Linked DNA regions of Tamandua tetradactyla. The main gene of each other region encodes a partner of the protein of the gene in region 2 in a complex. Links are inferred from orthologs where the notes say so. Each region holds a gene or a part of one and is shown on either strand. Other genes may lie near its edges.

Region 1 (7,430 bases), on a different chromosome or scaffold from region 2:
TGTAGGGATGGGGTGCTGTCTTTCAGGATGCCGTGTACATCCTGAATCAAAGACCTTTATAGGGTGCTGTGTCCCCACCAGGAAGAATACATGGATCCAGGAACCAAGGGGTGGAAGCAGGAGTGGTTCGTTTTACCATCAGTGTCAAGTGATGAGCAGTACCCACAACTCTAGGCTCTGTGGAATTAGAGAGTTTTGTCCCCAAAGGGGGAAACTGCTGCCAGAGGACCCGGCATGAGTCCCATTGCAATGGAAGTGACGGTTCCCACCTGAGCTCTTTGGGAACCTTGTATGGAGGGACCAGCAGGCAAGAAGAGGAGTCACCATTACGGCCAAGGGAGATCCACTTGGGGGACTCTCCCACCCCCTTGAATGCATGACAAATGGGGAAGTGCAGCAACCCTGGTCTGAAGACAGCCACCAGGTAAGCCACTGAGCCTAGCAGAGCTGCTGACTGAGAGTGGAGGGAACTTAGAATGGACAAGGAGGAAGGAGTGCAGTAGTGGCCCTGAGATCACTGCAGCAGCCGGGGCTGTAGTTCAATGATCTATCCTTCCTCATCCAAGTTTCAGTGGGAAGACAGGCCCACCAGACTCCCGAAGGAGCTGCTCCCCAAACTGGCCTGTGGAGAGGAAAGAGGTGTTTTTCCAAACAGAGTCAGTCTTCAGGGGTTGACTGTGACAACCCCTCCCTCTAGGCATTCCTTTCTTCTCTCCTTTCCTCTGTGCACAAACATTTTTACAGACACTCATTGAACATCCACAAATATCAACCAGATAATAAAACCCACGTTTCCTGCCACCAAGAAGCTCCTAATGGAGTGGGAGAGACAGACCCCGATATTATGAATGCTTTAGTAAGCACATTTCTCTGGCCCTTCTCCTCTTGCAAATGCAGGAAGCTCCCACTATCTCCCATGCCTCCCAAACACCCAGGAGGCATCTCATGGGTGCCCCTTCTCTGTTCTGACCCTGTTCTTCCAGGATCCACCGCTTCCCCCGGGCATGGCGCCTCTGCTGGGCACAGCTGCTGCTGATTCACTGGAGCCTGGGAGGTGCCAACTCCGTCCTGTGTGGGTCGGGAAGCTTCTCTCCCCTTTTGCGTTTTGCTTTGTCATGGGCGGGGGACAGGGAAAGAGGTTAGTTTGTATCCCAATTTTTTACATTTTTTTTTTAAGCAAAATATCCCTTTCGGTTTTGACTTAAAGTACTCCCATCTCTTCTGTTAATTTCCATAGGACTCAGATTTCAGTCCAGTGGGGTACTGGGGTGGGAGGCAGCGTAGTGGTCAATGGGACTTAATGGTCCCCTCCTCCCACACGCGGATTTAGTGGGGCTCCACAGCCTCGGGCCCCTGCACAAACACAGACATGTCTGCAGCGGATGTGAGTATGCTGAAAGTGGGCCCCCAGGTCCTCATTGAGAAAGGTAAGAGAGTAAAGGTGAAAGACAGATTCCTTCATCCTGGAGGACTAGGGAAGGCTTTGCAGAAGAAATGTCACTTGAGCTGTGTTTTTTTTTTTTTTAATTTTTAAAGTTTTTTAAAACATGACAAACAAGCACAAAAATTCTTACCATATGATCAATCCATTCTACATACATAATCAGCAATTCACAATATCATCACATAGTTGCATATTCATCATCACGATCATTTCTTAGAACATTTGTATCAATTCAAAAAAAGAAATAAAAAGAAAACAGAAAAAAATTCATACATACCATACCCCTTACCCTTCCCTTTCATTGATCACTAGCATTTCAATCAACTAAATTTATTTTAACATTTGTTCCCCCTATTATTTATTTATTTTTAATCGATATATTTTACTCATCTGTCCATAACGTAGATAAAAGGAGCATCAGACAGAAGGTTTTCACAATCACACAGTCACATTGTGAAAGCTCTATCATTACACAATTATCTTCAAGAAACATGGCTACTGGAATACAGCTCTACATTTTCAGGCAGTTCCTCCAGCCTCTCTGTTATGCCTTAACTAAAAAGGTAATATCTATTTAATGCGTAAGAATAACCTCCAGGATAACCTCTCGACTCTGGAATCTCTCAGCCATTGGCATTTTATTTTGTCTCATTTTGCTCTTCCCCCTTTTGGTCGAGAAGGTTTTCTCAATCCCTTGATGCTGAGTCCCAGCTCATTCTAGGATTTCTGTCCCACATTGCCAGGAAGGTCCACACCCCTGGGAGTCATGTCCCACGTAGAGAGGAGGGTGGTGAGTTTGCTTGTCATGTTAGCTGAGAGAGAGAGAGAGAGACCACATCTGAGCAACAAAAGAGGCTTTCATGGGGGTGACTCTTAGGCCTAATTTTAAGTGGGCTTAGCCTATCCTTTGTAGGGTTAAGTTTCATATGAACAACCCCCAACATTGGGGGCTCAGCCTATTGCTTTTTTTGTCCACACTGCTTGTGAGAATATCAAGAATTCTTGACTTGAGAAAGTTGAATTTTCCCCCTTTCTCACCATTCCCCCAAAGGAACTTTGCAAATACTTTTTTATTCACTGTTCAAATCACAGTGAATGCTGAGGGATGCCAAGAGAGCAAGGCATCGGAGGAAATTAAATTTTGTATGGCCATGGGGAGTGGGGTGGAGAGTGTGAAAAACAAGGCTCAAGAGGAAGGAAAGGATCAGCTCATAGAAGGCTTGTTAAGTCATTTAAGGAGTTTGGATTTTATCCTAAGAGCAATGGAGAGCCACTGAAGTGTTTCGAATAGGAAAATAACATCACTAGTTTGTACTTTGAAAAGAGCTCTTCAGTTGCAGTTGAAGATGCATTGGAGGGTGGGAAGACTGGAAGGTGGGATAACAGTAAGGAGGCAATTGTAGAAGCCCAGACACAGAATAGGGTAGAGGACAGTCCTAGATGGATTTGGGAGATGTTTTGGGAATGGAATTGTCCAGGTTTAGTAGATAAGACAGAGGATAATGGGGAGAACAGTCAAGTATGACTCCCAGGTTTCTGGCTTGAGCAGCTGGGTGGAGGCAGAATGCATGCTCTGAGAAAGTGATTACAGAGAGAAAATTAAATTGGGGGAGGGAATGACTCAGTCTCAAAAATATGGGGTTGAGGTATTGAAATACATCCTGAGTGGATGCCCAGTAGGCAGGTGGATATATGAATCCAAAGTTCTGGAGATTTGGCAGTGAAGCCTTGGGGGTGGGTGGAGTGGGACTGCTGAGCAAGACTGGGTAGATTGGAGGGAGAAAAGGGCTGTCTTAGTTTCCTGGATGCTAAATCAAATGCATTACAATGAGTTGGCTTAAACAACGGGAATTTATTGGCTCGCGGTTTTGAGGCTACTAGAAGTCCAGACTCAAGGTATCATCAAGGCAATGTTTTCTCCCATCGGTTGCTGGCAATCCTTGGTCCTTGGCTTTCTGTCACACGGCAATGCATCCAGTGGCTTCTTCTGGCTTCTCCTTCTTTTCTGGGTTCTATCGACCTTCTGCTTCTGACTGCTCTCATTGTAGCTTTCTCTCTCTGTGTCTGATTTTCACTCTGTGTATAAAGGACTCCAGTAATAGGATTAAAACCCATCCTGATACAGGTGGGCCACACCTTAACTGAAGTAACCTCATCAAAAGGTCCTATTTACAATGGGCTCACACCCTCAGGCAAGAATTATGATTAAGAACATGATTTTCTGGGTTCATAGCTCTAAGTTCCCACAGGCCCCAAGGGATGCCTTCATTCAAGACCTTTCCCAATCTGCTTTTCCAGCATATTTCCAGCCATCCCTTCCTCCTTCTACAGCACATAAAATTTTGTCCCTTTTCTCTGGACCCTCCCATCAGTTCCTCCATTCTTGTTGTCCTGGAGGTTCCTTTTCTGGAATTCAGTTCAAATATCCCTAACTCCCTGTACACATTCCCTTTCTTTTTTTTTTTTTTAACTCTCTTTCCATAATGGTAAAGGATATGCTTTTCTGTGTGTTTCCTCCTAAATCTTGTGAGGTCCCCAGAGGTAGGACAACATCTTATGCATTTTTTATTATATTCCCCTCATCCAGAAGAGTTCTTAGCACATCATAGCTGCAGCACTGATACCTGTGAATAAATGAACGAGCGAATGAATGAATGGAGGGAGAGGGTGGACTTCATCCTGGCGGGGGGAGGGTGGAAGCCAGGAGAGTGACGTCATCAGTTCACTTGTTAAGTTTACTCCAGCGACGTCGCCTGTTGTGGGGCTGGGACACCGTCTGGCCCATAGTCGCAAGTAGCCTTCCCCCCTGCCTCGGCCGCTCCACCGCCGCGCTTCAAACCCAGCCTCCCAGAGAGCACCTCACCTTTACCCCACTTCCAAGTCCGGCCCCAACTTTCCGCCGCCCTCATTGGCTGCGCGGTTGTCCAATGGGCGGGCGGGAAGCGCGCGCTCGCGGTCCGCGTTGAGGTCGCCCACTCTCGTTCGCGCCTCTCGCGAGCGTTAGGGTGGCTGGCCCGGGCCGTGCGTCTTGGCCTGGAGGCCTGGAGGCTGCCGGCTGCCGGGAGGCTGAGGTGCGGACCCGACCTGTACAGAGACCATGTTCCGAGCGGCAGCTCCTGGGCAGCTCCGGCGGGCGGTGAGTCCGGGCGGGGAGGGCCGAGCTCGGTCACCGGCCCTCGCGCGGGCAGGTCGGGCCCGCGGGGCCTGGGAGCGTCGGGCCAGAGGTCGGGGCCTGGTGACCCGGGGTAGGGAAGCTGCCCGCCCCGCGCCCCTCCTCCGCGCCCCGCCCCCTCTGGCCCCTCTCTCGGGGTTCACGCGCCTGCTGGGCACCCCAGGTCCTCCACACCGGGAGGGGAGCGGGCGGCCCAGACCCCTGACGCGCGGGGACCGAATGTCGCGCGGGAGGCGCCCCCGGGGGGAGCTGGGAACCCGGCCCAGCCTGGAGCCGCCGCTTGTGGAGGATTCCGCGTCTGATCCGGGCACTGACCGGCGTGGGGGTGGTGCGTGTCTGTCCCTGGCTAGTGGGACAGAGCTCCCTTTAGGCCACTGTCTGTGCAAGGCCCGCGGTCCAGTCCGACGACTTGAGCCGCTTTTGAGCGGCGGGCGTCTTGATCCTGCAGTCTGACCTGCTTTTAAGCCAGCACGTGGTGTTGAAATGGGCAGAGAACCGGTGGCAGCGGTGCGTTGTGGTGCTTTCAGTTGGGACACCTCGTGAGTTTATCACGTTTTTTAACTCCTAATGTGGGAGGGGCTGATAAATTTTGTCCAAATGCTGTGGGAGAATTGGAGACTGGCCAGACACATGTCAAGTAACAGTTTATGTAGATTTCTAATTAACATTGAAGTTAAGTGAGAAACGAGATTACTAAACTTGGGTCAGAAACTTTTTGACGTTTTGTACCTTTCCTCTTTTTTTTTTTTTTGGTGTTTGGCATATTTTCCATTCACCGCTGGGCTTTTCTCCCCGGGAAGTAGCTGTCAATCTATCCAGATGTCTGTAGGCCCTTTCTTTGGGCTTATTCCTTATTCCATAAAAAATCCCACCCCACCCTCCCCTAAAAACCCACATCCTTCAGGTTTGTGTATTCGCTTTCCTCCGGGAGTTCCCCTCCCCCAGTATGATGTAGATAGAAACAAGTTATAAGTCTTGCATTTGGGAAGATTCCAGAAATCAGAGCCGGATTTATGGAAGAATATCTGTGAATAACTGAAAGGTGGTTTTATGGACTGGATTAGAGTCTGGCATATATGAAATGAGCGATTTTGGGGGGCAGACTCATTAGTTTTGTAGCACTAACAAAAAAATCAGGATTGATTTTTGGTAATTCTTATTTACACCGTTATAAACAGACATGGTTTTTCCAGATGTTTATTGCAGTTTTCCAAGGACTTTTCTAAAGACTTTGACCTTGATTTGAAGCTGAGAGTAGCTGCTCTAAAGTCTTTGAGAGTGTATGAGAGATTTGAATTACAAGTGTATGGGAAATGGTGGGAACACTTCCAAAACAGGACATAAGTACAGATAATTTAAATTTTGAAATATTTCAACTTATAATAAATATGAAAAAATAGTACGAAGAATTCTTCAATTCTTTCACCAATTGTTAAGTTTCACACATTTGTTTTAGCTCTTTTTATATATTCATATTATTATTTTCTGAACCATTTCAGAGTAAATTGCAGACATGCCCAATACCCCTAAATATTTTTTAAAGTATAAATGTTTTTTATTTTTATTTTTTAGTGTTTATTTTTTAAGAACAAGGAGGTTCATTTTGAAAAACTCAGTATAATTGTCAAAATCAAGAAGTTTAATAATGATACAGTGCTATTGACAAGTTTTGCTAGTTACATCAATGTGGTTTATAGCAATTTTCCTTATTCTGGTCTAGGATAGTCCAGAATCATGCCTTACACTTAGTTTTCATGTCTCTTTAGTCTTTGTTAGAAAGGTTCCTCCTTTGTTTTTTTTTGGCTTTGATGACAGTGACATTTTTGAAGAGTATAGACCTTTTATTTTTTATCCTGTCTTCTGATTTGGGTTTGTCTGATGTTTCCTTACAGTCAGGCTCAGGTTATGTATTTTTTGCAAATTATCACAGATGTAATGTGTAGTTAATTCAGTGCATATTAGGTGACGCTTTATTTTGGTTTATCCCATCATTGTTGGTGCAACTTGAATCCCTTTGCTAAAGTTGAGTTCACCAGTTTCTCACTGTAAAGTTACTAGTCTTCCTTTGTGAATTTTAAAGTAATTTGTGGAGAGATGCATTGAGACTTTGAAACTATTCTGTTTCTTATCAGACTTTCATCCTGTGATGATTTTTGCCTGAGAAATGCTTATTATGATGGTTGCAAAATGGTAACTTTCTAACTCCACCATTCCTTCTACACTTACTAGTTAGCATTGTACTACAGGGAAGAACATTGCCTTCTTTCTTATTTATTTATGGACTCATGGATCCATATTTCAGTTAGTGAGTTATAATCTATTATTTTCTGTATATATATTTTGATGAACAAATTGTCCCATATTTGTAAAGGGGGAGCCTCTTCAGTCTGGCTCCTGTTTATTCATAAGGCCATAAAATCAAAATAGCTGATCTCAAATCTCCATTCTTCAAATGTTTCTAACTGTTCTGTAGCTAGCCATGAGTAAATTTAGGAAGATATATTTCCAAAAACATGCTTTTAATAATCAAGTTAGAAACTATATTTAAAATATTATCTTAATTGTTAGAATGTAAGTTAAATGATTTGCCTTTGGTATCAAAGTTGCATTTCCAATTTTGACTGGTTTGTGCCATTGAGTAAAGTCTTTGAGGTTTCGGGACCCCTTCCATAACGTCATCTGTCAATGAAGGTGGTATTTTACATCTATGGTAAGAAGCTAGAGAACACACAGGGGAAAATAAAAAGTCAGGCATTTTCAATTTTAACATTCTTACAGGGATTTAAATTATTGTTGTTGGTATTGTATTCATTT
Region 2 (7,599 bases):
TGGGAGGGGGCTCTCCGGAGGGGGGCCAGCTGGCAGGGCCAGGCGCTCAACAGCTTCCTCTCGGGGCAGGCTACATCCACGTGACTCAGAGCTTCTGCATCCTGGCCGCCCTGTGGGGCCTGGTGTCCCTGGGTCTGCTTGTCCTGTCCTGCTTCCCCTCGCTGTCCGTCCCCCACCGCGGCCTCCTCTCCGCTGTCACAGGCTTTGTTGCAGGTAAGGGCTCCGAGGGGCGTGGCCATCATGGGGGGGGAGGGGGGCAGGGGACTTGCTGCCGAGGGGCTGAACCGTCTCTCTCGCCCCCACCCCCAGCCTTCTCCATGATGGTCGCCATGGCCGTGTACACCATCCAGCAGTGGGGCCAGCCGCTGCAACCCCAGACCCAGACCTTCTTCTCCTGGTCTTTCTACCTGGGCTGGGTCTCAGCTCTCCTCTTGCTCTGCGCAGGTGACAGCTGCCCTCCAGCCCAGCTCCCCCACCCCACCCCACCCCACCCCGGGGAGCTCCAGAGGGCCCAGTGGGGGGCCGAGGGAGCAGGGCGGGGACAAGTGCTAACCTCTTTCTGGCCACCCAGGGGCCCTGAGTCTGGGCAGCCACTGCAGTGACCCCCGGCCGGGCTACGAGACTTTGTGAGCTGATGGAAGGATGGCAGGTGAACTCTGGAGCCCTCTTCTCTGGCAGGCAGTGTCCATTGGGAGGCACCAGCACGCCGCGCCCTCCATCCCTCCCCTCCCCCTCAGCCCTTACCCAGCCCCCCACCCCCAGTCCTTTCATTTGTATCTTGTTCCATTCAACAAAGTTTTGCAGCGATGTGGTTATTCTGAGATTAATTCAGCAAAGACATAAACCAACCTGAGCGTCAGCTCCATGAGGGGTGAGGCTGGTGGGGGTGGGGTGCCCAGCCAAGTGGGAGAGTCCCACCAGCCCGCAGGGAGCTCCCTGTTCTCTCTTCTTTCTCTTTTCTTCCGTGTCCTTCTCCCTTTGTCTCTAGCTCTCTCCTCCTCTCAGGTTCCGTCACCCTCTCCCTCACTCTCCTCTCCTTTGCACATGGCATTAATCCACTCACTCCCCTGAGCTTGGGTTCTCTGTGGGCAGCGGATCTGAGTCATACCTAGGGCCCTGCCGTGGTCTCACACACTGGAAGGCAGGGGCAGGTAAAGATGAAAAGCAGTTAACACAGGCCAGAGAGTTGGCTCCCAGGGAGGGGGCCAGAGAAAGACCATGCAGAAGGCATTTTGGTACTTTTCGAGGAGCCAGGAAGGGCGGTGCAGGCAGAGGGCCCAGGGGCTGGCCGGGGGTGGAGGTTGCACTTTGTGGCTGGAATGGAGAATGGTGAGGGGGGCAGGGCCTCTAAGACCACCTTTAATTCCCTCCTGAATATGACCAGGAGCAAAGAGGAGGTTGTGAGCAGAGAAGGACTGTGGCCAGCTCTGGGTGTCAGACCCCTTTGGGGGTTTACAGGGAGGCGGGAAGGGCAGGGAAAGCCCCTGGCAGTGGGACCCGTGGGGGTGGATAGGTCAGGCCTGGGGCTAAGTGCAAGAAAAGGGGGGAATGAGTCAGCTTCAGGGGGCAGGAGGAATAGGACTTGGGGACTCAAGGGCTTTATGGGGTAGGGGGCGGGCAGCAAGCAGGGGCCTAGGGGAGTGGGTGGGAGAAATGGGCTGCAAATGGAGCTTGGGGTGGCTGCAAGGAGCTGCAGGCTCACTTGGAAGGAAGGTGCAGGATGGAGCCTCAAGGAAAACCCATGTTGAGGAGTGGGGGGGGTGAGCTGGGGAGAAAAAAAGCCCACAGGGGTCCTGAGGGCACAGCCAGACAGCAGGAGACCAGGAGGGCTTGTGGGGTGCCCCAGAAGCTAAGGGAAAAGCAGTATCTAGACCTAGGAAGTGGTCTACCACGTCAAGACCCACGCCACACCTGCTGTCTGACTCAGAGCTGTCACATTGCTGGGAATCCAATGCATGCAGGAGGGGGTAGCAGGGCTTTATCTCTTTAAATGGCCACTGGCGAAGGGGGTTCTGGAACTCCTGCTGCCTCACAGAGGCCCAGTCTCCCCTGACCCCGGCTCTGTGTGTAGCAGTCCTGGGGAACTCGGTGTGGTCACTTAGGTGGGTGTGTGTGTGTGGGGGGGGTGCACACTGAAGGGCCAAAGGGGTAGACTCCTCTGGGAAAGGGGGGTCTCAAGGGGACAGGGAGGTTCCTAAACAGAGAACCTGGAGGAAGAAGGGGTCTCAGGGACACTGGCATGGTTGCTGGGGAGAGGAGAGCCCAGGAGTAAGGGCTCCAAGCAGGGATCCCTGGAGGAGGGAAAGGAAGGCCCGAGGGTGGTCTGCCCCACCCCACCCCCACCTGTGACAGGGGTGCTGGGAAAGGAGACTGAGGAATAGTGGGAGCTGGGGGAGGAGCCTGGGGAGAGAGGTGTGGGGGAGGGGGCCTCAGGGGGATGGAAGGAGCTGGGGAAGGGGCCTGGGGAGAGAGAAGCCTGGGGGGAGGGGGTCTCAGCAGGGTGGAAGGAGCTAGGGGAGGGGGTCTCAGAGGGGTAGAAGGGACTGAGCCTGGGATCTGGGGGGGTGGGGAGATGGAGGGATCTGGGGGTGGCGTCTGGGGAGGGGGCAGATGGGAAGCCCGGGCCTGGGCTGAGGTCGGGGGTGTGGCCTCCTCCTGAGCATGTGGCCCTCGCAGCAGCCTCCCTGGCATGGGGGTGAAGCACAGCCTTCAGAGGGGGGGCACCCTGCTCAGCCTGCTGGCCAACATCCTCATGGTGCTGTCCGCTGCCACCAACTACTGGAGTCGCTACCCCGAGGGCCACAGCGGCCTGTGGCAGGAGTGTCACCAGGGCACCTGCTCCGTCATCCCCTGCCAGAGTGAGGCCCGGCTCCCCGCCGACCGCAGCCCCGCGGGGGGCCTTGCCACGCCCCCGACCTCCCCGCCCCCACCCCAGGGAGCTGACGCCGGCCGGGACTGACGCGGCCCCTCTCCCCAGCCATGTTGGCGGTGACCGGGGCGTGCATGGTGCTGGCGGCGGGCTCCGGCATTGTGGGCATGGCCATGGGGCTCAAGATCCTGTGCCGCCACGGCGACGCGCTGCGGGGCCAGGCCACGAGCGCCGTCCTCTTCCTCAGCGGTGAGACCGCAGCGGCTCCGGGGCTGGGGGAGGGCGGGAGGCGGGCGGGGGCGGGGGCGGGGTCTGGCCGTGCGCACCCGGCGGCGCTCACCTGGCGGGCGGGGGGCCAGGGCTGCTTCTGCTCATTGCCTTAACAGGCTACACGGTGAAAGACGCCTGGAAGTCCGACGTCTTCTTCTCCTGGTCCTATTTTGCGGGGTGGCTGGCTTTACCCTTCTCTATTCTCGCGGGTAACCGGCACGGCGGGAGAACGCGGGTGGAGGGACCGCCCAGGCGACCCCACGGCCCCCGCAGCCGCCGGCCCAGGGAGCCCCCCACCGACCCCCAACCCGCCACCCCCACGCCCCCAGACCTAGACCTCTACCCGGGCCCGTCCCGCCCCGGGACCCACCGCCCCTCTCCCGCCAGGCTTCGGCTTTCTGCTGGCGGACATGATCCTGCAGAGCACCGACGCCATCAGCGGCTTCCCCGTGTGCCTGTGAGCGCGGCCTCCTGCGGCAGAATAAAGGAACGGCTGCCAGCGCCGCGGCTCGCGCGCCTTTCTGGGGGTCGTGGGGACACGGGGATATGGGCGTGGAGAGGGCGAGGACACGGATACGGTGCACGTGAACGTGGAAAAGGCGGAGATATGAACACGGGAGATACGGACACCAGGGTCATGAGCGTGGAGAGGGCGGGACACGGACACGGGGTCGCAGACACGGGAGACATTGAGTGTGCAGAGGACATGGGGGAACATGAATGTGGGGAGGGTGGGGACACGGAGGACACGTGAGTGTGGAGAGGGAGGGGACAAGGACACCGGACGACATGAACGTGGGGAGGGCGGGAACACGGACGCGGGCCGCAGACCTGGGGTACGTGGGGTGGACTGGGAACATGAACAGCGGGAACGTGGACACGCGGGAGGACATGTACGTGGACGCGCGAACGTGGAGCGGACAAAGGACATGGATATAGAAAACAGCGGGGACACGGGGGGAAGTGAGGACACGTGGGGTGTGGACGCTTGGGGACAGCGTAGGGAAGAGGTGGGGAACTTGGGGACTAGGGCGACCCGGAGCTTCTCCCTCCCGCCCCTCGCGGCCCCGCCCCCGCAGCCGACACGACCTTTCCTCTAGTTCCTGGCCACGCCCCCTCACGGGGCCTTTTCCTCCCTCCTGTTCCCGCCTCTCACCCGGGAGCCGCGCCCTATTTTTGGTCACATTCGCTTGCCGGCCTCCCATTGGCTGGCCCCGCCGTGGTTGACTGACTGGGAGGGCGGTGCGCAGGCGCAGAGAGGGACGGGAGAGGGGGCGTGGCGTCCGGGCCGAGGGGCCGGCGGCTGAGGCGGCGGGAAGATGGCGGAACTGCGCGCGCTCGTGGGCGTCAAGAGGGTCATCGACTTCGCCGTGAAGGTGATCTGGTCCCCCTCTCCCACGTCCCTGAGCCCCGCGGCCGTATACTTCCCGGGTCACGAGCGCACGCTGTCTCGTAACCTCTGACCTCTGCTGTGCTTATCCCCAACGTCAAAGTCGCACCTGGGGGCAAAGATCAAGGACGGAGAGGTTCTGACCCCGTCCTTTTTCCCCAGTTTTGGACATACAATGTTGAGAACTGTGTGCAGAGCAAGTTACCTCCTGTATTTTTTAGCTACTGGGGGAATCCTAGACCCTTTTAACACACGGGGAAACTGAGGCACAGGGCGGCCAGGAAGGGGCAGAGCCGACGTTGCAGTCCTGGGCCTCCTGACTCCTTAGCTTTTACCCACGAAGCTGTAATTCTCAGGAGGAGGTCTTTTACCGCACAGAGCCACAGAGTCAGTGAGGAGGCTTTAGCTAGAAGTGGAAGCTGGGAAGAGCGTTTTTGTTTGCTGGAGATGAAAGTGCCTGGAGAGCACAGCCAGCCTGACCCGTGGGGCAAGGCTGGGTTTCTCCAGAGGGAAGCTGGTCTGGAGAAGATGAATCAAGCACAGCACCCCTCAAGCCAGTCTCTCTCAATACATGGCCTGAAAACCAGACTGAAGGTGATGACTGTTTATCCATCCATGGCTGTCTCCCCCCTCAGACTGAGAGCTTACATCTGTGTCCCCAGCAGTGCCCCTCCCCACCCCTGGCACCTAAGAGGTCTCAGCACAGATGAAACAGGGCCAGAAAGTTGGTACTGATTTTAGTGAGTGAAATGGGGGGCCAGGAGGGGCCAGGAGTCAACCGTGGGCCTGAAACTTCAGTGATTATGATTGCTAACATTTAGGGAGTTCGAACTGTGCAGTGTTGTAAGGCCTTCACAGAGGATGTGTCTCTTGAGGTTCTTCCCAGGACAAAGAAATGGTTCAGACATTGCCAGCTCCCCATTCACTGGGCCAGACCCCAGCACGGTCTGCTTCCTTCCTTCCCTCACCTCCCACAGTCTCAACCGGGACCCTCCGGCTCTCCTGCCTTTCTGCCCTGTCTCTTCCTCTTCCTCCTCAGGACCCAGCAGTTCGGGCTTCATCTTCTCCCACTGGGACCCTTGCTCAGTCTCCTCCATGGCTTCCAGTCCACCCCCTACCAGCTCCAGGGCTCTTTCCCTGCTGCCACCCTACTCCTTGCACTCCCGTGGTTGACCAGGACCCTCCCCACCTCCTAACAAAGTTGCATCCCCTCAGCCTGGCCTTTGACCCCCCTCACGGGTTTGTCCCCTCCAGCTTCACCCTCTGTGCTTCCATAACCCCAGCCTGCCCCTGCTTTCCTGACAGACCCAGCTGCTTCTTGCCTTGGCCCTCCCCTCCCCCCATGCCTCCTGCCTGGGCGCCTTTCTCATTCTACCCTTCACCTATGCCCTCCCCTCCCTTACTCTGCCTAACTGCTACCCACTGATTGTATTAAAGTTGAATCACCTCCTCCGGGAAGCCCTCCCCCCTTCAACTGCCATCAGGCTCATTGGTGGCTGCCAGTGATTGCATCTTTCTTTTAACCACATGTCCCCCTCTGCCACCGGACAGCTCCTTTCAAGGAGGGCCCAGGTGTGACTCTTTTCTCAGCATGGCTCCCTCCCCTCCTTCAAGTCTTTGCTAAACTGTTATCTTCAGTGTGAGGCCTTTCCTGGTTACCCACTTAAAACCACATTTTCCTCTCATTCTTGTCTTGTTTTATTTTTTTCCATTATCTTAGCATCTTGTCATCTGCTATATAATTTATATATTGACTGCTTTAGTGTCTGCCGCCTTTCCCAGACTTTGAGCCCCCAGGGGGGTTGCCTGGTGTGTACACTGTTGTTGCAGGTAGCGAGTGTGACTAAACAGCTCAGAGCGCAGACCCTGGAGCCCAGCTGCGTGGGTTCACGTTTCACTGTCACCATTTCTGCCGTGTGACCATGGGGAGTTATTTAAGCACTCTGTGTTAGTGACCTGCTGCTGCTGTAACAGATTGCCGCAAAGGTGGCACAATTTATTCTCTTACATTCCTGGGGCCCAGAATGCCAAAACCAGTCTCATGGGGCTAAGGCCCAGGAGTCAGCAGGGCTGGTTTCTTCTGAAGGCTCCAGGAGAGAATCCTTTTCTGGCATCTGGAGGCCGCCTGCCTTCCTTGGCTCATGGCCCCTTCCTCCTTTTCAAATTCAGCTGTGTAGCAGGCTTTCACTGTCCCTTTGCTCTCCTCATCACATCTCTTTCTAGCTGACTCTGATCCCCCATTTCTCTTATGAAGTCCCTTGTCATTGCAGTGGGCCCACCCTTGCAATCCAGGATAACCTCCCCATCTCAGAATCCTTAGCTTCGTCAATCCACCAGGCACCTTTTGCCACATAAGGTCATTTTCACAGGGTCTGGGGATGAGGCCACAGATATCATTAGGGGGCTGCTCTTCAGCCTTCCCCTCCCCCGCCCCCAACACTATGAGGTTCTGTTTCCTCTTTGGAACAAAGGAGATTGTGATGGTCCCTGCTTATTTTGGTTGTTCTGACCATTCGCTGAGTGATGTTTGTAGAGCTCTGTACATGAGCGCCGAATGGGGTAAGTGCCAGCAGAGATACACAGTGAGGGGCGTCACTGGTAGGAGGTAGTGGGGGTTTAGTTAATCACTTATTCAAAATATAACAGATCCTCTGCTTAGAATCTTTGTGCTCATGTGCACGCATGTGTGGGCGTGCTGTGTGTGCAAGTGTGGGTGTGCATGTATGGGTGTGCTGTGTGTGTGCACGTGTCTGCATTGGGTATTGGTAGACACAGCACAGCACAGTAAATACTCATCCCTGGCCTGGGGCACCTGTTCCAAGAAGTTGAGGAACTAAACCTTCCAGGCCTCTTCTGAGACCCTGGGAGAAGCCACAGCAATTCTCAATTCACAATTCAGCAGGACCCCCAGAGTATATAAATTTCGGGCCCCAGAAAATCTCTTCCTACCTCTGGGATGATCCTAGACCAGCCACATCCTTCTCGGTTCCTGGGGGTGTGAGATACTTTTCTCCCCTTGACACTGGAGGAGGCTGGGCCCCCCTCGTTCTCAGGGTGCACATGTCACTGC

Evidence for each region. The genes of interacting proteins can lie anywhere in the genome.
Region 1: the proteins of ETFB (region 2) and ETFA are in contact, whole or in part, in a crystal structure (PDB 2A1U), measured with the Homo sapiens proteins. The link is inferred for Tamandua tetradactyla from reciprocal best matches to the Homo sapiens genes ETFB and ETFA. Residues at the interface, in NP_001976.1 of Homo sapiens: Ile14, Tyr16, Val18, Ile20, Val22, Val29, Thr31, Phe41, Leu102, Arg106, Lys124, Gln125, Ile127, Asp128, Asp129, Asp130, Cys131, Asn132, Gln133, Gln136, Met137, Ala139, Gly140, Phe141, Asp143, Trp144, Pro145, Gln146, Thr148, Phe149; in NP_000117.1 of Homo sapiens: Glu27, Leu88, Pro89, Glu90, Ser113, Ala114, Phe115, Lys117, Asn118, Pro121, Arg122, Ala124, Ala125, Lys126, Glu128, Val129, Ala130, Pro131, Ile132, Ser133, Arg146, Thr147, Ile148, Tyr149, Ala150, Gly151, Asn152, Ala153, Leu154, Cys155.

Annotation. Positions count from the first base shown.
Region 1 is NC_135340.1:90,701,482-90,708,911, forward strand, and holds the start of ETFA (electron transfer flavoprotein subunit alpha, mitochondrial), read left to right. Parts: upstream 1-4,412; 5' UTR 4,413-4,541; coding exon 4,542-4,580; intron 4,581-7,430. UniProt on the Homo sapiens protein: Heterodimeric electron transfer flavoprotein that accepts electrons from several mitochondrial dehydrogenases, including acyl-CoA dehydrogenases, glutaryl-CoA and sarcosine dehydrogenase.
Region 2 is NC_135342.1:9,987,429-9,995,027, forward strand, and holds the start of ETFB (electron transfer flavoprotein subunit beta), read left to right. Parts: upstream 1-4,581; 5' UTR 4,582-4,976; coding exon 4,977-5,123; intron 5,124-6,995; exon of another isoform or gene 6,996-7,088; intron 7,089-7,599. Other genes in the region: protein NKG7, read left to right, coding at 70-213, 310-444, 572-630; CLDND2 (claudin domain-containing protein 2), read left to right, coding at 2,240-2,268, 2,677-2,858, 2,978-3,118, 3,229-3,348, 3,527-3,600. UniProt on the Homo sapiens protein: Heterodimeric electron transfer flavoprotein that accepts electrons from several mitochondrial dehydrogenases, including acyl-CoA dehydrogenases, glutaryl-CoA and sarcosine dehydrogenase.